Canis lupus familiaris: one gene and its partners. The protein of the gene in region 3 purifies or fractionates together with the protein of the main gene of each other region. This does not show direct contact. Links are inferred from orthologs where the notes say so. Each region holds a gene or a part of one and is shown on either strand. Other genes may lie near its edges.

Region 1 (3,513 bases), on a different chromosome or scaffold from region 3:
ACTCTAAAAGGATTCTTCTAGAGTCCAGAAACTCTGGGGGCTGATTCCTCTGAACCACAAAGGGAAACAGTACAGCCTGGCTGTGAAGACTGTAAACTCTGGAACCAACTGTACAACTGTGTCTGCTAACTATGCAACCCTGAAAAGTTACTTTAATTTTCTGTGTTCGTTTCCTACTATATCACACAGGGTTTCTACCTCATGAGGGTATTGTGAAGACCAAAGCACTTCTTACATGTAAACCTCTTAAAACAGGCTGAGAAAAATTACATACTTAATGTAGGTGCTCCTTAATTGTTCTTATTTCTACTCCCAAAAAGATACAGACCCTTGGATTTAAAATTGCTATTATGCAAAGTCAGCCTATATACTCATCCAGAGGATAGAGAGGGTCAAACAGCCTTCTTAACAGACACTATACTTGAAAGTCAAAAATTCCAGGCAACTCCTCCTCCCATGACTGGCTGCTATGAGCAAAAAAGGTATGTTACCCCTTAACGTAGATTTGGTTTTCCCTTCTAATGTGGCTCCCATTTCCTTTTTTCTTTTAAAAAAGAATTTATTTGACAGAGAGAAAGAGAACACAAGCGCACAAGCAGGGGGAAGGGCAGAGAGAGAGGGAGAAGCAGGCTCCACGCTGAGCAGGAACCCTGTGATCATGATCTGAGCTGAAGGCAGATGCTTAACCGACTGAGCCACCCAGGCACCCTCCCATGTCTTCTTTGACTCTTCTTTTAACCGCTGCTAATATAACAGAAAATCATGGTCTGGTTAAGAAAGAAATATAAGGACACTGAGATGGGTCATATTAAACTTTATCTAGCCCAGAATTAAGCATCAATTTGGCAAAAAGGATCTTAACAAGAGAATCAACACTCCCCAAAGAAATCCTTAAAATGTCAGAAGAGAGGACTATATCGATGTACTTTAAATAGTAAAGGCTAACTTACCTGTTCATCTGAAGCTAGATTTGTGAACAGTGGAACAATTTCACTTTTCACACTGTCTAATTCCAAAACTTTTGCAAATTCGCCCAGTTTGGAAGCGGCAGCACGTCGTACCATTGGAGTGTCATCTGAGCACAAGGAACGGAAGTGCCTGGGGCAAACAAAATAATGAAGGTATTTCCTCTCAAATACCATGGATTAAACACCCCCCAACACGCACACACACACACATACCTAAATACACACACACACACACACACACACACAGGGCCATTTTAGAGGTTTTCTCTTACAAACATCAGTGCTTAGGCTTTGACTCACAGAAGTAACAAGTATAAACAAAACCACTAGTATATTCAACTTAATGATAAAAAGTCATGTTACCACATCTGCTATCCTATCAGCCACTCACTGGTAACAGGGTATTATTGTGTAAATTGTCAGCTATGAGTTCCCAGTAATCCCAAATAACAGAGAAAACATCATATCTTACTGTCTAATCTCTGCCTTGACAGCATTTGAAGCCCTGGGATAGCAAACGCTGAACAAACCACATGCAGATGTGCGAGAAGTGAACCAATCACCACTCGCCAGGCGTTTCACCAGAGGTACAAAATGTGCTTCCAAAGCAACAGGAGTATGCTCCTGGGAGATCTGCCTCAGGGACTCCACAGCTTTGTCTCGAACCACAGTCTCTTCCACAGTTGCCAAACTTTCCAAAGGAGGCTGAATAGATCAAAAAGGAAAATCAGAGAAGAAAACTTACTGAATCAGGTTAGCTACACATTATCACCTTTTAAAGTGACTGAAGGGAGGTGGTACATGTAACCAGAATGTTAGCTACATCACACCAAATGGTTACTTTCAGTTCACACAGTGATAACATATGGTGCGTCCAACCTGAAGACACGACTTCTGTAGGACAGCCAAGATCTCATGTCCCAGATGGCAATTCCCAGATGGTGTCTACAAATGACACAGTAGAGACTTGACACAATATTAATATTACCACGAGCTGAATGACTAGGTTTAAAAGATATGTAGCCAAATTCAGATAAGATCATGTTTATTTCCTCAAGAGTGAGTGCAGAAACATGAGCAACACTGAGCACCACAATTACATGATGACATCCCAGCAGGCCACTGACCTACAGTCTCTGGAGTATTATTTGACCATTCCTGGAAATGCAGGCAACCCTTGTGCACTAGAGCCACACCATCAACTTATCTAACATATGAAAGAATACATACAGAATCTTGTGAGGAAGATACAAAGCAGGAGTTGGAGAACAATGGAGAGTATAGACCTGGTAGGAACCCTTGTCTACAGCTGCAGAGACCAGGAGGGTCGGTCTGGACTAGGATGAGTAAGTGAATATGACACAGCCCCATGAAAAGAGCAAGAGGGCTGGTCCTCTGAACCTCGACCTGGGTTTGCATCTGAGCTAGGTATATTCAGCATATGCCATGAGCTGCAAATATTCAACACAAAATCCACATACAGAACTGACCAAGAGATGAAACAGAATTATGAATCAAAGGAAAGTGTGTCTACCTAATAATACATTTCAAAAATCATTTGATACACAGAAGTAGAAAGTACTGAGCTTTCCTAAAAGGTATTTCACAAGCCATTTGAGAAGATACTGTGTTCTTACTCACTTGTGACTGCCTCACGATCTACCATTGCCTTCCCCAAGCTCCTCTCGTATAGCATCACTGGATAGTCTCTGTCACCACTATACAGTAAGGCCAACCTCCTGACAATCAACGAGGAGTTTTCTCTGAATCTGAACTCTGCCTGTTTCTCCCGGCTCTCTCCCTGTGGCCTCCCCTACCATCCTTCATATGCCAGCTCAACATCCAGCAAGGCAACCTGTTTCACACTTTGAAACCCCTGAATCAATGAATAATTACTGCTATACTGTAGCACTGAGGACAGAGAAAAAACAAGGCAGACAGGATCCTTGCTCTAGGGGGCTCTACAGTCTAGTGGAGGAAGATAACCGATCAAGAAAACAATCATATGGTGAGGAGTATTCTGTGAAGAAATAGAATAGGATGATGTGGTAAGGGGATGACTGGGAGGCAATTTCAGGTTAGGCATTCACGGAAGGCCTCTCTGAGAAGATGCACTGAAGTTGGTTCTGAATGACAAGGAACTAGCCACCAGAAGCTCAAAGAACAGCAGAAGGAATACCTAGGCCAATAATAAGGCAATAATAAGCTTGGTTTCTTCAAAGAACAAAAACACCACCACTATAAATAGAATGAAGTTCTCAAGAGGAACATGACATGAGATAAATTCACAGAGATAGTTTGTCCCTTAATTTACAGAACCTAAGGCAGGAATTTGGATTTTCAAAGAGCTGAGACGGGAAGTATCCACTTGCTGGGTGAAGAGCGAACCAGAAGGATTGGGTAGAAGGCAACTGTCAAGATGTTACTGGAGTAATCTAGAGGAAAGATTTTGAGATCTGGGGAGAGGAAAGGAAAGAAGAGCTAGGTAATAGTGGGAAGAAGGAAAGTGAACTGATTTGGAATATGTACAGAAGCCATAGGAATT
Region 2 (4,270 bases), on a different chromosome or scaffold from region 3:
CAGTCACCCCTTCCCCCTGCCTACCTCCCCTTCCACTACCCTTTGTTTCTCAGAGTTAGAAGTCTCTCATGTTCTGTCTCCCTCTCTGATATTTCCCACTCATTTTCTCTCCTTTCCCCTTTATTCCCTTTCACTATTTTTATATTCCCCAAATGAATGAGACCATATAATGTTTGTCCTTCTCTGATTGACTTACTTCACTCAGCATAATAGCCTCCAGTTCTATTCACGTTGAAGCAAATGGTCAACCAAGTTTAATTTTAACTAAAATCCAATGAACTATGCCTTCCCAAAGAGTATATTTTATGGTATGTGAATTATATCTCAATAGTAATAAAAGAGTATGTGCAAAAGAAATGAAAAAATTTTTTAAATAAATGTGAATCTAACTTTAAAGCCTACACTTTTATTCTCAAGGCATTTTGCTGAGTGACTTAGTAACATAATTCATTATAACATTACTGGTTTTTAGCTTTATTTGTCAAACTCCTTTGTTTTTTACAATCATACGTTCTTAATAATCTTAAAATTATATATCTTACCTTCATTCTCTTTTATTTTATAAAGATTTTATTTATTTATTAAAGAGAGAGAGAGAGAAGGGGAGTGGCAGGCAGAGGGAGAGGGAGAAGCAGGCTCCCCAATGAGCAGAGAGCCCAATGTGGGGCTCCATCCCAGGATCCTGAGACCTAAGCCAAAGGCAGCTGCTTAGCCCACTGAGCCACCTCAGGACCCCACCTTTGTTCTCTTGTTGCAGTTCTCTGATTTGTCTGTTTTCTTGCTGGATTCCCATAACTAATGTGGACCGTGGCCGATGCCTTGCAACTTCATTAAGTTCTTGAATTTCCTCCTGATACTAATGAAAAGATCAAAAAAGAACATGTTGGGAGAAAATATTTGAAAATACATATCTCAATATATATAAGGGCCTAATCCAGAATATATAAAGAATTCTTAACAACTCTCAATAATAATAATAATTTAATGATGATGTATTAAAAATGGGCAAACGATGAGTAAGTTCTGGAGAATCTAATGTATAGCAGGATGACTATAATTCTACCCCCACGTATATACCCAAGATAACTGAAAATATAGGTCTACACAGAAATTTGTACACAAATATTCACAGCAGTATTATTCATAACAGCCCCCAAATAGAAATAATCCAAATGTCCCATCAACTGATGAATGGATAGACACAATGCACTATATCCTTATGATGGAATATTATTCAGCAATAAAAAGGAATAAAAAACTTAAAACATGCTATAATATGGATGAACCTCAAGAACATTACATTTAAAAAAGTTACAAAAAGCCACATATTGTATGATTCCATTCACATGAAATATCCCAAAGAGACAAATCTATAGAGATAGAAAGATTAGTTGCCAGGGGCTGAGGGAAGGGAGAGCTAGGGAATACCTAGCTTGCTAATGGAGGTAAGCTTTTGGGGTGAGGAGAATGTTCTGGAATTAGATAGTGATTGTGGTTGCGCAACCTATGAATGTACTAAAATCCAATGAACTATGCCCTTTAGGAGGGTAAACTATATGGGTATTGTGAATTATATCTCAATAACAATAGCAAAAGAACATGTAAAAAAGAAATAAAAAACCTAGAAATAAATGTGAATCTAACTTTAAAATTGTACTCCTTCATTTTCAAGGCATTTTGATGTGCTGCTTAGTAATGTATTCATTATAACATTTCTGGTTCTTTAGTTGTCAAACTCCTTTGTTTTTATGACTCAGTACCAGATATTAGTTCCTTGGAATGCATGAGTCAAGCTGGACAGTTAGGGAGATATGTAATCTGTTTAAGGCAACAAAACAAGTAAATTTGCTCTATTATTTCCAATAGCTTTGTTAAAAGTGGTATTCCAGGGTTGCTTCCTTTTACAAAATGGATGAGTTTCACAAGAGTAGGCTATGAATATACATTTCCCCCTAAATGATTTCCATCATAAGGAGAGACTGTATAATTATCTTAAAGTTGAAAATTTTTATCATAAGTAGGCTTAAAATGGTACCTTAACCCCGTGGACCACTGGAAAATTCTTATATACAATTCTTATATAAGAAACTTCCTATGTACATTATAAGGATAATAACTGAAACCCTTTTCAATTTTTCTTTAATTGGTAGCACTAAATGGAAATTAAGGTAGGAAGTACAAATTCAACAACTGCATAATATATAAACCAGATATTGCCTTATGCCATTTTTGAAAATTCTGTTGTTAAATAACATCACCTAAGTACTTTTACAAAGAAAAATATAAACATTTCTACATTATAAAAATAAGAGAGCAAAATATATCACTATTAGTGAAAGATATTATTGGTCTCTAATATATCAGAACCTAATATATTTTCTAAACTCCAATGTGCAACTCTGCCAGAAAAACAAATAATCAAATATATGGTTTTTAGAATATACATATATATATCTGTATCACCTGGACATGACAAAATTATATGATAATCTAAAATAAAATTAAAATATACAAATCAAGTTACTTTTAAATTTTATAAAACATTAAAAAAACGGTATTAAGCAGAAATTTATGATTCAAGCAATACATAAATATCTGACTGCTTTTTTCAAAGTGGAATCCACAAGAAAGAAAAGAAATCAAACCTGCTTCATCGCTTCTACTCGCTTATTGAGAGCTGTGGTTTGCTCAATCAGAGATTCTGCTGCATCGTCATGATCTCTCAATCTTTCAACAAGAGCTTTAGCATCAGCAAGTGCCTTCTCAATTGTGCAACTCATTTCTAAAGGAATACCTATAAAATTAAAATCAAGACTCTAAACAAAGCCAGCTTATCATCTTATTATTTTAGTTTCATGTTAACATCGATATGCTTCGTAAGTTACATTTATTACAGGATTGTTCACTGGGGAGAGAAAACATGTAAGAACACTTGTGGTTTTGCTTCTGTTCGGAGGGCACAAGCTTAAAAGTAAATTTATAATATTAAAAAATTAGAGCATATATAAATGATTTGCAGACGTAATCTGCGTGTATTTAAAACACTCTGAATTTATAGTGGGGAAAAAAGTACAAATCAAGTAAATACATTTTATATTACACAGAAATTGTGTTCTTCATGAGATCATTCCCTTCTCCTGATATTTGTGAAAAAGATCACTTTATTAGTCCATACTCTGTGGTCCATGATTGTCAGTCACTAGCTATGAGATCCTTTCTAGCCTTTGCTTGGTTAAGTGACCTGAGACACCAACCATTTCACAACTCACACTTATTGACCAGCTAAAGTCGTCTCTATGTGTCATACTATGTCAGAGTGTCCTTCAGAGTGTCCTTCTTTTGAAGGAACTACTTTTTAAAAAAAAATGTTTTTAAGATTTCACTTATTTGAAAAAGAGAAAGAGGGAGAAAACACACATGCGTAAGAACATAAGCAGCGGGGAGGGGCAGAGGGAGAAACAGACTCCCTGCTGAGCAGGGAAACCCATACAGGAATTCCATCCCAGGATCCAGGAGTCATGACCTGAGCAGAAGGCAGATGTTTAACTGACTGAGCCAGTCAGGCATCCTGACTGAAGGAAATACTTTTTTTTTTTTTTTTAAAGACTTTTACCAAAAAGTAAAAATAAATAAATAAATATTTTATTTATTTATTCATGAGAGACACGGAGAGAGAGGCAGAGACACAGGCAGAGGGAGAAGCAGGCTCCATGCAGGGAGCCCGCCCACATGGGACTCCAGGATCATGCCCTGAGCCAAAGGCAGGCTTGCTCAACTGCTGAGCCACCCAGGCATCGCTGGAGGAAATACTTCATATATGAAGTATTATAATCCTAAGTCTTGTGCTTTCCTTATTAAGTGGTTAAAAAAATATATGACTTAGAACACCAGCCATACGGGAAATTTTTGATATGTTAAAAATCAATAAATAATGTGTTTAAGAAGAGCTAAAAAAATTAGCAGAAAAATACGAAACACTCAACAGTTAGCTTCTTCATTTAGTACTGAGACCTCAAAACAAAATCTTAATTTTAAAATAATCTCTTTCAAAGACTTCAATCTTCTGAAACTTAATCTTTGGATTTTTCTCGTTGTAAGGTAAGTTTTACCTTACCTTCTATATGAGCCATCCTTTCTTCAGGGTTTTCTCTAAAAGTAAAATCACACTGTAAATTTACTAGGCCAGAAGCCAGGTCTATAGAAGTTAAATTAAAACTCTGGTATGGATCCAAGCTAAGGGCTATAATTAAGAATTTCATCAACTTTAGGA
Region 3 (4,283 bases):
GCTTTGCTTCTCTCCCCAGCTCTCCTGAGCTGTGGTTCTCAAAGTGTGGTCTCTGGACCAGTGGCGTCTGCATTACTAGGGTGCTCTCTGATTCTTGGGCCGCACCCCACCTTTACTGAACCAGAAATTCTGAGGGTGGGGTCAGGCAGTCTGTGCTCTAACAAGCCTGCCAGGTGGTTCTGATGCCCCTAAGACTTGAGAGTTACTGTTCCTGCATATTCCAAACGGCCCTTCCTACTGCTTCCTTACACTTGCAAGCTGGAGATGGTACCATCCTCACTCCCCCTTTCCCGGGCTCTCTGTCCCTCTGATATTCTTCGTAATATGTAGTCTGGATGGTGTTTGTGTCAGTGTAAGGTTGGGGCTTTCTTACTGCTCAGGGACACTTATTGGCCATCGGTCATTGTGCTCAGGGACATGGGTATCGAAGTGAGTAAGACACAGTCCCCGAGTTCCCTCAGCTTTTAGTGAGTGAGATTGTGTGCTCTAGGAGAATGGCCAGTTCAGGGAAATGACAGATGCAGTTCATGTAGGTTGAGCTTGAGATGTCCACATAGAAATATATATTTAGCAAGTAATTGATCTTAGGAGTTAAAATTCAAAAAAAAAAAAAATAGAATTCAAAAAGCAGGGCTGGAGTTAGCAATTTGAAAGTTACCATGTACATGATGATTTAAAACCGTTTTTCCTCAAAGGTGGCTATTCATCAGAATCAATTGGAGTCTTTATTTTTAAAGATTTTATTTATTTAGTTAGAGTGAGAGAACACGAGCAGGGGGAGGGAGAAGCAGACTCCCCACTGAGCAAGGAGCCCAATGTGGGGCTCTGTCCCAGGACCCTGAGATCATGACCTGAGCCACCCAAGTGTCCCTATTTGGGGTGTCTAACAATATGGATTATGCACCCCTGCCCCATGTATGACAGAGAGTGATTTGGGATCTCCCACATGTTCCAGGTGATTCTGAGCAGCTAGGTTTGGGGAACACAATCCCAAACAATGAAAACTGTTTGAGGAGAATAAGTAGAGAATGGGTGGGCAGCCAGCATGGAGCCCCCAGGGGCATGCCTGTGATGCAGCCGCCAGGGTGGAGTCTGTGCAGGAAGATCCTCTGGGACTGGGGGGATGGGGAGTAGACAAGTGGGAGAGCAGGGTTTAGATGCCAGGACTGGAAAGTTACCAGAGGGAGGGCTTCTTGGAGGAGGATCAGATTAGGCACTGCAGTGGTGGCCTCAGCTGGAGCCAGACTGTGGCGGTGACCAGCGAGGGGCGGGGCGCCTGGCTGGTCTCGGTGACTTGCAGGGAACTCTCAAGGAAGGAAGGAGAGCGTGAAGGAGAGAGGTGACCAGGGAAGCCCAGTGTTTCTGTTTTTCTCAATGGGAGAAAACTGAGCAGGCTGCCAGGAGTGGTGGGTCTGTAGAGAGGGCTGAATGGAAGAGGCCTCTGGTGTAGGGGGCTGATGCTGCTGAAGCTGTATCCAGGGGACAGAAGGATGGATTCAAAAGCTCAGCGCTCAGGACTGGCCTTGAAGAAGAGGAGGGCCACCCCCCCTCATCCTGGAGGGATGGAGGTGAGGGAAGGGGTTTGGAGATGGGAGTTTCTAGCTGCTGAATGTGGACGTCTCTCTCGTGTCCCTTTTTCCTGGCAACCCCGGGATGCACTCCTTGCTTACTTTGTTCATTTTAAATGATGGGGTTAGTGTAGTCTCAAAAACAGGGCCTCTGGGGTCTGTGAGACCACCCATGACTTAGTGTGTGCGTGTGTTGCTGGGGTGTGCTACTTCCGTGGGGTTCACGCTGCAGCACAGCAGCACCTCCGCGTTGGCAGTGGGCGGGCTGGGTTTCAGCACTTCTCTGGAGGCACTGCTTGGAACTCCATGTGTTTCACCTTGAAAGCAAGTTAATGGCTCGTGCCTGGTTAGCCCCTAGGGCTCACCTAGCTAATGGTGCTGCTGACCTTGCTGTAATTCTCTCTCGATCCCCTCATCACTCCCCCTCCCAGAGACCCCCTCCCCCCACCATGCCTGTTATACTCTCTCCCTTTTCAGCCCTCCTCCTTCCCCATCTTCCTTCCTTCTCCATGTTTCAGTTTCTTAGAAGGACTGGTAGACATGGAGGGTGGGCCTGGCATCCTCTTGTTCATGAGCAGCATTTTTGAGGGGAGGTGTGTGAGGTGGTGGCTCCCAGGGTCCTGTCTTACTCTGTGAGGTTTCAAGTGGTGCCAGCAGTATTTGTGCCGAGCTAGGCAGTGTCCCCAAGTCTTCTTGCCGAATGTCAGTTTCGCCCCTCAGTTTGTGACTGACACCCCCCGGGGATGACAGGCTGCTGCCTGTTGAGAGAACTCAGCTGCTCACACACCTTTCTGGTCTGGGAGCTGTGAGGATGGGTGTTGGAGTCCCTATGTCTGGACCCCTTGGAGATGTACACTGTGTGTATGTGGTTCACCTAATTAGCTAGTGATTGAGAGCTTTCAGAAGCTTTTCCAAGGGCATGATGTTTACAAGACAAAAGAAAACGGGTTCTTATTGTTTCCCAGGATTGGGTTAAAATGTTGAGGGCAAGGTAGTAGCCAAAGGTGAAGATGCATAGGACTGCATTTGCTGGACTTTAAACATGGCCTGTTACGAAATGATTGAGTACTAGTTAACTAGTTACAGTATATGCCTACCTAAACTTAGAAAATTTGTCGGGGAGGGGGAACAAAGGGAGAGAGTGGAATATTTGCGTAACAAGAGTGTTTTTCAATAAATTCATATATCCTAACACTTTGTCTTGGTTTTTACTTAATTATGCAAATACTGGAGCCTTTCCCAGTTTTTATAATCAGGGTTATTGTCCTTGCTTGCATACTTGCTGTGTTTCATAGAGGTGAGGCTTAGAAATCCCTGTGTCCTAAGTGTGAGGAGCTGTGGTCACAACCAGCCTGACCCTCAGATGAAGAAAATGGATCGGTTCTTGGAAGACTGTGTTCTGTGTATTTTTAAGTATGCGGGAAAATCTGTCCCTGTCTTGTGAGTTACTGAGGTCTCTTCTTTTCCTTTTCTCCTACAGAACCTGAAAGCAGATCCAGAAGAGCTTTTTACAAAACTGGAGAAAATTGGAAAGGGCTCATTTGGTGAAGTGTTCAAGGGCATTGACCTTCGGACTCAGAAAGTGGTTGCCATAAAAATCATTGACCTGGAAGAAGCTGAAGATGAGATAGAGGACATTCAGCAAGAAATCACAGTGCTGAGTCAGTGTGACAGTCCCTACGTAACCAAATATTATGGCTCCTATCTGAAGGTAAGGCTTGATAGTAAGAATGTGGTTTTCCATGGTGTAGTACTTGACCGAGTCAGAGCAGGGCGTGGAGAGGATGTCAGTAGCACAGCAGGCTGTCGGAGGAGGGAGAAATGTTCCTTTGATTCCAAAGGCACCTGGCTCTGATAGTCTTATCTTCAATGTCACCTATAGAAATATCTTTTGGTTAAAATGTTTGTTGAAGTTCCTTTCCAAGAAAAAAGCACGTCTGATTGGAACTTGGTCATCAGAGACACATTTCTTATGAAGGTATTACAACAACAACTGTGGACTTACCTAACCTTAGCATGGTTTTTTGTAAAACCTTGTGCCGACCTGAGAATCTTAGCCTTTTGATATTTTCAGTTATCAAATGTAGTTTAATTTAATGTTAAAAAAAACCCTGCTGGAACTGATAATGGTGCTTAGTGAACTAGTTTATCTACATTTGACTTTGAAGAATTCTAGGTAAGTAAACAGTGACTCAACACCACAAATTGTCCTGGATTTCATCTGATTCTGTGAGTAGGATAAAAGAGCACAGCAAATGGTTTTCCAGTCCATAATGGGACCATTTTAGATGCTGTAGGGCACTCTAGTCACACCACTAAGAGAGCGGAAGTCTGTCCCTTGTGTTCATGTCCTTTGACATATGCCTGTTTTACTGACCTTAGCAATATAGTATCTTCCAAGGTGGTGTTTTGGAAATGTTAAAAATCAGTGGACAAAAATTCTAAAATGACTCTTGTGGAAACGAAAACTTCATAGGTAGAAAGTATTGCTTCCTGAGAGAGGCAGTAGTAAGCCTAGAGAACAGACGATGTGGCTTCTCCTATCTGGGGTTTATCCTCTAAATTCTTCTGTTGTAGCTTGCACTCTCTTCTGTCATCAGAAGGGACAGTGCAGGCTTTGATTTTGTGGAAATATGATAATATGTAAGCGGAAGGATGGACATTTTGAGAGCCATCGATTCACTTAAAATGAATATTTAAAGAAATAAAAATTGA
Region 4 (4,273 bases), on a different chromosome or scaffold from region 3:
ATGATGTTAGAAAGTTCATTTAATCTATGCTACAGAAATTACACAGGCATTTCACTGTAATCCGAGTCCTTAGAGGCAAAGCTATAATAAAGTTATCTTGTAGTATTTACAATTTGTTTTCAAGATTGATTCTAGTCTAACCACCCACTGGACAATGGACAATATCTCTATGTGGCTGTTTAACTTAAATTGAATACTTTTATTGTCAGGAAGCTTACCACAGCTTACCAAAGCTTCCAAGGTACTTTATTCTTTTTTTGGATATATCTCTTCCCAAGTTTTTCACATGAGCTAAACTGTCTCTTTTAATCTTAAAGTTTTTTCCTCCAGATTACAGAAAAATAGTTTTTCTCTTCCAGATGAGAAATGTTTGAGAGCTGTTCACATATTGAAAGTATTCCTGTTCCCTAAGACTTTTGTTAAGTCAGCAAAATGCTTTCAAAGGATTCTAAGATGAAGTTTATGTTTCATAAATTCCATGGAACAAATAGTGAGGTGCCAATTCATTAATCCAGGTTTAAATGATATAGTACATGTAAATGTACAATGCCACCCATGAAGCACTCTAGAAACATAAGCACAATAACTGGGTCTCCCAAATTAAAGCATAAGCAATCAAAGTGTAGAAACTATGCCATGTATTTTTTTTAAAACCATACTTCTAACATAATATGATGCTACGTAATTCAGTTTAATAAAGGTTTCTGTCTGCTACATGCCAGGTACTGTGTTAGGTATAAAAGAAGAATCCATGCTCCCTATAATCAAGGAGCTTATAGTTTAGTGAAAGTACAATAATAACCAACCAAGTATTTACTGAGTACCTTCAGCACTACCTTGCATTATGTTTGGTGGAAAAACTAGGCATCCATTAATCTTGCAAAGACATCTTGGGGCAGGTGGGGTGAGGAACCTACCTTAGTCCCACTCAAAGAAAAAAAGCTCCTGAGCAGCCCCTTACCCCCTGCTTTCTAATCATATCCTTACAAGATACAGCAAAATCAACAGCAAATGTGAGAAATATGAAAGACAAGCTTAGTTTTCTTCAAAAACAAGTGAACAATTTAAAATAATTAGAGATTTCAATCTCATTCATTCAGAATTTATTCACTAAAGTTTCTTACTGCAGAGTGAGACTGGTGAGCTTTCAGGACAGGCTCAGCATCCACAGCCTTTTTGGCAACCATTAATTGTAACATCTGTTTCCGGTACTTGCTCATGATGAGTTCCAAAGCATCCTGGTGTTCCTCCAAGGAAACCCATAGCTCTACCAAAAAAAATAAAATCACTTGGCAGTGATGTCTGAGAGATAGCTCCCAAAGCCAAAACTCTTTTAACAGAATTTTATGACACGCCATGAAATACCATGAATACAAAATTATAAATCAGTGTTTAAGTCCACAAAACTCAACAGTTAGGTCTATGTGAAAAATAACTTTCTAGGCAGAGGCAGCTTCATCTGGTATAAACAACATGAGATGTAGAATCAGGAGACAAGGGTTTCAGTTCAGTTCTGTGAGTTACTAGCTTACTACTACACTTATGCAAATTATTACCCTCTCTGAGCCTATTTCTTAACTGCACTGTAATATTAAGTACCAGCTTATCTACCTCAAAATGAAGATATGATAATACAATGGGATAATATAAATGAAAGCGCACTGTAAACTACTATACAAATAACTTCATACCGCTATTATTAATAATGTACACATCAAGCCTGAGAATATATACCCCGAGGCTAAAATTCAGTTCTTCCACCCTGCACAAGAACATTAAAAAAAAAAAAAAAACCCTCTTCAATCTTAGCGTCAGTGCTTATTTCAATTAATATTTGAACATAAAAAAATCCAAGCCCTTGAGGATATTAACACCTTGTTATGCAAGTATCCATATGGGGATAAAAAAGTAAACCATGCAACAATTCAACTCCACTAAGCTCCCCTTTGATAAGCTTGCCTATATATGCAAAGTCAGTCAGATGACCTTAAAGTAACAAACTTTATCGTTACTGGGCCATCGCAGGATAACGCTTTTAAAAGTACTGATCTGGAGATACATATAGGATGTGAATAGTTCGTTTGGCAAGAACTTTTGAAATATAACTGGATGTTAGAAAATCATAACTACACAAAAAGTCCTGACTAACCTCTGTTTTCCTGCTGCAAGTCTCTAATCTGTGTATTCTCTTGGGACAGCAGAATGTGAGGTTTGAATTTGGACATGTCCTTTATATCGGATGCATCTTCTTGATACTGGACAAACAGAGACAGACTAAGCGCGCCGTTAACAGGAGAACAGCCGCGGATGCAACTGAAGAAGGAGTCGGAGCTCCAGGGCAGCACGCTCAGCCCCGACCCCGAAGGAAAGTCTCACCGCCACCCTCTGAAACCAGGCATACGTTTAAGGCCGAGTTCCCGCTTTCCTTTGCCCTCCACCCCTCGGGTGCACAGATCCTGCGGGCACCGACCCCTACTCTCTGCCCGACCTGGTCCGGAAGCGCCGTCCCCGCCTCCCGCATAGCGGCCACCCGCCGGTGCAGCGCGGCGGACTGATCCACGAGCGACTCTGCGGCCGCGTCGTGTTCCCGTAGCCGCTCGAGCAGCGTCTTGGCGTCTGTCAGGATCTTCTCGATGGTGCAGCTCATAGTGGCCCCGGATCCTTGCTCCCGTCCTGCTCACCTACACTACTCTTCCCTGAACCTGGCTCAGCGTTATCGACGTCACTTCCGGCCGCCCTATGCGCCTGCGCAGTGGGGCCTAGTCCGCGGGTGGCCCTACTTGAACCAGCGGCTTCCGGCAGCCCGGCCGGCCCCGCCCTCGGCTTCCGGCTCCCGCGGTGATCGAGGTGGCGTGTGGCTGGGCGACCCGGGTTTCTTCCTTCCCTGTGGGTTTTGATTGATGGGGATTGTTTTTCAGTCACCGGATTTTAAAATCTTTTTTTGGTGCTTAGTCTCTTTTTAAAATTAATTTTAAAAACTACGGTAAAATACAATAAAATGCACCATCTTAACCATTTTGACACGTACACTCCGGTAGTATTAAGGGGCTTTCTCTGTTACGCAATCGTCCCCACATCCATTTCCAGAACTCTCTTCACCTTGCCAAATGGAAACTCTTAACCCGTTAAATATTAACTACTTATTCCTCCCAGCCACTGGCAGCCACTCTTCTGCTTTCTGCCTTTAGGAATTTCACTATTTCGGATACCTTATATACAGTGAGTGGTGCCACTGTCAATCATATTTGTTGTTTTGTGACTAGCTTATTTCACAGAACGTGTCCTCGAGTTCTGTCCGTGCACATCAGAATTTCCTTCCTGTTTAAGACTGAATTATATCCCATTATATGGGATATAAAATATTAATTATACCCCATTGTATGTCTATGGTATGTTTTGTTTATCCATCCACTGAAGGAATCCCAGCTTTCAGTTCTTTTGGCTATGTACCCAAAAGTGGAATTGCTGGGTCATATGGTAAATCTACCTTGGATTTTTTGAGAAAAGATCATCCTGTTTTCCACAGTGGCTGCACCATTTTACATTTTTTAGCAGCAGTGCGCAAGGGTTCTAATTTCTCCAAGTCCTTGCCCACACCTGGTGTTTTCTGTTGTTGTTAATGATGATCATCTTAATGGGTGTGAGATAGTCATTATTTTCTACTTGCCTATTTTTTCTCTCTTAATTCAATTAATAACTTAAAAGTAAATTAACCAGGGGGCACCTGGGTGGCTCAGTGGTTGAGCGTCTGCCTTTGACTCAGGGCGTGATCACAGGGTCCTGGAATGGAGTCCGACATTGGGCTCCCTGCAGGGAACCTGCCCCTCTGCCCGGGTCTCTGCCTCTGTGTCTCTCATGAATAAATAAATAAAATATTAAAAAAATAAATTAACCAAAAAGGCAATGACCTTTGTACTATTTGTTATATTGGTTTATAAGAGTTTACTTTGTCAAGCTTGTATATCAAACTTCATCCTTTTTCATTCTTACTTTAATAAGTATTTTTGGAGGGTCTGCTTTGTTACAGGCACTGTTTAGTGTCTAGAACATGGCAGACAATGACACAGGGTATCTGCACTTAAGGAATTAATATTCTAATGGGAGAAAGAGTTCATACTCAAATAATTGAAGGTAATGACAGATTAGGGGGCAAGAGCCTCAGAGCAGTAGTGAGAGTTTAGAGAAGCAGCAGGAAAAGAACAGTGCATTTTACTTTTGTATTCCCAATAGCTGGCACAATGGAGACATTCAATAACTGTTTCTCAAGATGGAG
Region 5 (3,513 bases), on a different chromosome or scaffold from region 3:
TCAATTTGTACACTAGGAAAACAGCTTGATAGGCATTAGTAAAAATTCTTTGTTCAATTTCTTCTACATCACAAACAATAAAAAAAAAAGACCTATCATAGTGTAACTGTTTGAAAGAATGTGGCTCCCATCTACAACAGAAATAGCTAAAGGAGAATAAAGTTTTCAAGATTACAGTTTTATGCTTCTCAGAATGGATCATAAGACTTAGACTCAATATTGTTAATGAAGGAACTATGGAGTATAAATCCCAATCTGACTGTACGCCAGGCAAATTCTTAAGGGATGAGTGTGGCATCAGCCCAATATAGCTAGGAACTAAATGGCACAGAAGACTCTGTAAAGGAAGACTAACTTCTAAATACTACTTATATGCTAAAAAGGCTTGCCAAATAAAGTTAGCCACTAGACCAAAAAAAGTTTAGGAAACATAAAAAATTTATGTGAGTTTCAGCAGACAACTTTGACTAATGATATAATATATTCCACCTTCTGGGACCTAATATTTTTAAACTGTATGCTTCTAACTCATCAGGAGTTTTCTGCTTTTCAACATTTGAACAAGTCTGAAGTAATTAAAAAAAAAAAAAACAACCAGCATTTAACAACCTGCCAGATTCTAATTAATTATATCTCAGAGGGCAGCCCCGGTGGCGCAGCAGTTTAGCGCCACCTGCAGCCCGGGGTGTGATCCTGGAGACTCGGGATCGAGTCCCACGTTGGGCTTCCTGCAGGGAGCCTGCTTCTCCCTCTGCCTGTGTCTCTGCCTCTTTCTCTCTCTCTCTCTGAATGAATGAATGAATAAATAAATAAATAAATCTTAAAAAAATTATATCTCAGAAAAGAAGGATCAAGTTTATATCTTTAAAATGTCAATAATCCCAAGGCAGGAATAATTTAAGATAATCAATACTAGTAATCAAAGATCACTATTTCTTGCTTGATAGAATACCAAACTAAATGGATTAGCTAAGATTCCAAATAAGAAAAATTTGAGTGTCTGCATCATGTAATACTCATTTTAAACCAAACATTTTGTCCAAATGTGCTGCCAATACAGACAATCCCGTTGGTACATATATATATACATTCATATGTGTAAATATTCGTGTTTGGACCTTAATTTTATCCTATTCAGTTTTTAGAATTGTTTTTATAAAATTTTACATGTTATAATACGTTTACTCTTTGTTATCAGTTACCTCTAAACATTTAAAAAGTAATACATATGAATGTATGAAGAGACTGGAAAGACAGGACACTGAAAGAGAAAAGGGTTTTATAGATTTGTAACACATGGTATTGTAAAACATGGTATTGTAAAAAGGCATCTTAAAGAACAAATCACCACATCTTGTTCCTTCAACTAGTTCTTGATTGTTAAAAATGTATAATCTATTACAACTGTTATTCTTTATAAGCAGATAATGAGGCTTACTATTTTCTGATGTATCTAGTCCTTTGTTTTCTCCTAAAGCTTGTTTTTATAGGAACTGACCTTGATCACTGAGTTTCTGCTAACCCTGAGGTTCTTTAGGAGTATAAACACAAGCTAACAAGAGTAAAGACCCCCATTTCTGGTGTACTGTGAGGAAGGAGGTGGATTAATTAAGAGTGGCTTCAATAATAAACATGTATAACTTTCATATTCTGAATCAGAACATAAATAGTGTTTAAATAAAAATATGGAATGGATCACATTTTTAAGGAAAAAAATAGATTTTAAACTATACAACAAACGTTGGTGGGAAAACAGGACTCCACTAAATTTGCTGGAATAAATTTTTGCATTCCTTGGTTTGCTTATAAGGTACTGGATATTAGAAAAACATAACTAGTTTTGGAGAGTTCTTGATTTTATATATATCTGTGAAATTCAAAAGCTGAATTTGTATCTTCCAATGGTATAAATTCTTTATTATAGTCATCTCCTGATTCCCTTACAAACAGAAGGAATCACTGGCTTGAAAGAAAAACAACTTATATTTGAAGTTTTTACCATTTAGTTTATAGGACTAATTCAATCATGAAGTATAGATATTTGCTGTTTTTTGTTTAGGGCTTTGGTGGGGGTGGGGGGCTGTAGTCCACGAATGTGTATTCCTTGAGTACATCAAAAGGAAAGGAAATGTAGGATGACAGTGAAAGTTAAAAAACAAAAAAAGTTCCCCAAAACACACAACCTGCAGTATTGTTAGCATGCTTAACCTGTTAAAATAGCCAAAAAGAGTCTAGCTGAACATTTTGCTCCAAAAGGGTATTTAAGTATCAAATTTAAATTTAATTTAGATGAAAATTTAAGATAAAGAAATATTCTGAAGCTAAAAGAGTTCTTGCATACTTGTGCAATTCTTTTTCTTGCCGCTGCAGTTCTGATGATAACAAAACATTTTCCTTTTTTAGAGAATGGCATTCGGTTTCCAATACATTCCATTCCTTTCTCAACTTCTCTAGTTCACCTAAAATAGTCCCAAAACATATTCATTAATATAGGAACAAAATTTCCATAATAATTTAGGGGATAAGGGAAATATTTCGGAGAAAAACGTACTTGCCCCCTCCCTTAAGAACATGTAGATTTTACATGGCTATTCTTTGGTTCCTGTTTATTTTGCATCTATACCTCAGGTGAATCTCATCACCTTGAATTTGAAGTAATATTTTCTTCCCATTTCACTTTTATAAGACAAATAATTTCAGTAGTATTAAAGTAAAATATAAAATTATAAATATTTCAGTTTATTGTAGAATTTGCAAACCTGAAGAATGTTTATAGCCCCAATATAAAAACATTGCTTTATACAACTAAATTGTTATCAAAGAGAAAAAAGCCCAAATGATTATTTTGTGCAAGTTTTATAACTGTAAGTAATCACTGTCAAGAGTTAAGAGCTTTATGTAAAATATGTGCACTCACTTTGTAGCCTTGTTGCTTCCTCTCTCTGCTGGTCCTCACACTGCTGACATCGAAGCTGAAAACTATTCTGCAGACTCGTGATTTCTTTCTCATATTCAGATGCTGCTTTCCGCCACCGCTCAAGCTCACCTCGCACCTTCTTAAGCTCTTCTTGTAATGAGGCAATGTCAGTGTCCCGCTCAGAGGCAGCCTTTTCTGCTGCTTGATGAAGGAGCAAAATTTCATCTCGGGCACTAAGCAGTTCATCTCGAGTGCTTGTAATTTCACTGTCCTTCTCCTCCCGGAGATTCTCAATATTGATGTGTAACCTCTGTAGTTGGGCTGCAAAAGTATATTTATCCATCATTTTCTTTGTCCAAAGCGATTACAAATAAATGAACTGCCCAAATGGGATTATAGTTACTACACAGCCCATGCTGTCAGAGCTGTTTGTTGCTTTTGATTAAGCAGTCCAAGCAATCCAAGTTTAATGCAGAAAATGTCAAAATACCGAAATACAAAGAGTAAAAAACCAAAGTGATCTTTTTATTTCTCCCACACAGTGAAAGTTGCTTCTAGCATTTGGTATTTATTCTTCTAGATTTTTTTAAAAGATT

Evidence for each region.
Region 1: the proteins of STK24 (region 3) and PPP2R1B purify together in Homo sapiens (affinity purification with mass spectrometry; 3 studies listed by BioGRID and IntAct, with this or other methods). This does not show direct contact. The link is inferred for Canis lupus familiaris from reciprocal best matches to the Homo sapiens genes STK24 and PPP2R1B.
Region 2: the proteins of STK24 (region 3) and FGFR1OP2 purify together in Homo sapiens (affinity purification with mass spectrometry; 4 studies listed by BioGRID and IntAct, with this or other methods). This does not show direct contact. The link is inferred for Canis lupus familiaris from reciprocal best matches to the Homo sapiens genes STK24 and FGFR1OP2.
Region 4: the proteins of STK24 (region 3) and SIKE1 purify together in Homo sapiens (affinity purification with mass spectrometry; 4 studies listed by BioGRID and IntAct, with this or other methods). This does not show direct contact. The link is inferred for Canis lupus familiaris from reciprocal best matches to the Homo sapiens genes STK24 and SIKE1.
Region 5: the proteins of STK24 (region 3) and SLMAP purify together in Homo sapiens (affinity purification with mass spectrometry; 6 studies listed by BioGRID and IntAct, with this or other methods). This does not show direct contact. The link is inferred for Canis lupus familiaris from reciprocal best matches to the Homo sapiens genes STK24 and SLMAP.

Annotation. Positions count from the first base shown.
Region 1 is NC_049226.1:21,360,410-21,363,922, reverse strand, and holds part of PPP2R1B (serine/threonine-protein phosphatase 2A 65 kDa regulatory subunit A beta isoform), read right to left. Parts: intron 1,674-3,513; coding exon 1,441-1,673; intron 1,099-1,440; coding exon 951-1,098; intron 1-950. UniProt on the Homo sapiens protein: The PR65 subunit of protein phosphatase 2A serves as a scaffolding molecule to coordinate the assembly of the catalytic subunit and a variable regulatory B subunit.
Region 2 is NC_049248.1:25,863,845-25,868,114, reverse strand, and holds the start of FGFR1OP2 (FGFR1 oncogene partner 2), read right to left. Parts: upstream 2,810-4,270; 5' UTR 2,781-2,809; coding exon 2,646-2,780; intron 857-2,645; coding exon 739-856; intron 1-738. UniProt on the Homo sapiens protein: May be involved in wound healing pathway.
Region 3 is NC_049243.1:48,811,168-48,815,450, reverse strand, and holds the start of STK24 (serine/threonine-protein kinase 24), read left to right. Parts: upstream 1-1,475; 5' UTR 1,476-1,490; coding exon 1,491-1,568; intron 1,569-3,048; coding exon 3,049-3,279; intron 3,280-4,283. UniProt on the Homo sapiens protein: Serine/threonine-protein kinase that acts on both serine and threonine residues and promotes apoptosis in response to stress stimuli and caspase activation.
Region 4 is NC_049238.1:53,000,188-53,004,460, forward strand, and holds the start of SIKE1 (suppressor of IKBKE 1), read right to left. Parts: upstream 2,808-4,273; 5' UTR 2,648-2,807; coding exon 2,489-2,647; intron 2,256-2,488; coding exon 2,150-2,255; intron 1,268-2,149; coding exon 1,125-1,267; intron 1-1,124.
Region 5 is NC_049241.1:32,860,703-32,864,215, forward strand, and holds part of SLMAP (sarcolemmal membrane-associated protein), read right to left. Parts: intron 3,239-3,513; coding exon 2,918-3,238; intron 2,460-2,917; coding exon 2,342-2,459; intron 1-2,341. UniProt on the Homo sapiens protein: Associates with the striatin-interacting phosphatase and kinase (STRIPAK) core complex, forming the extended (SIKE1:SLMAP)STRIPAK complex.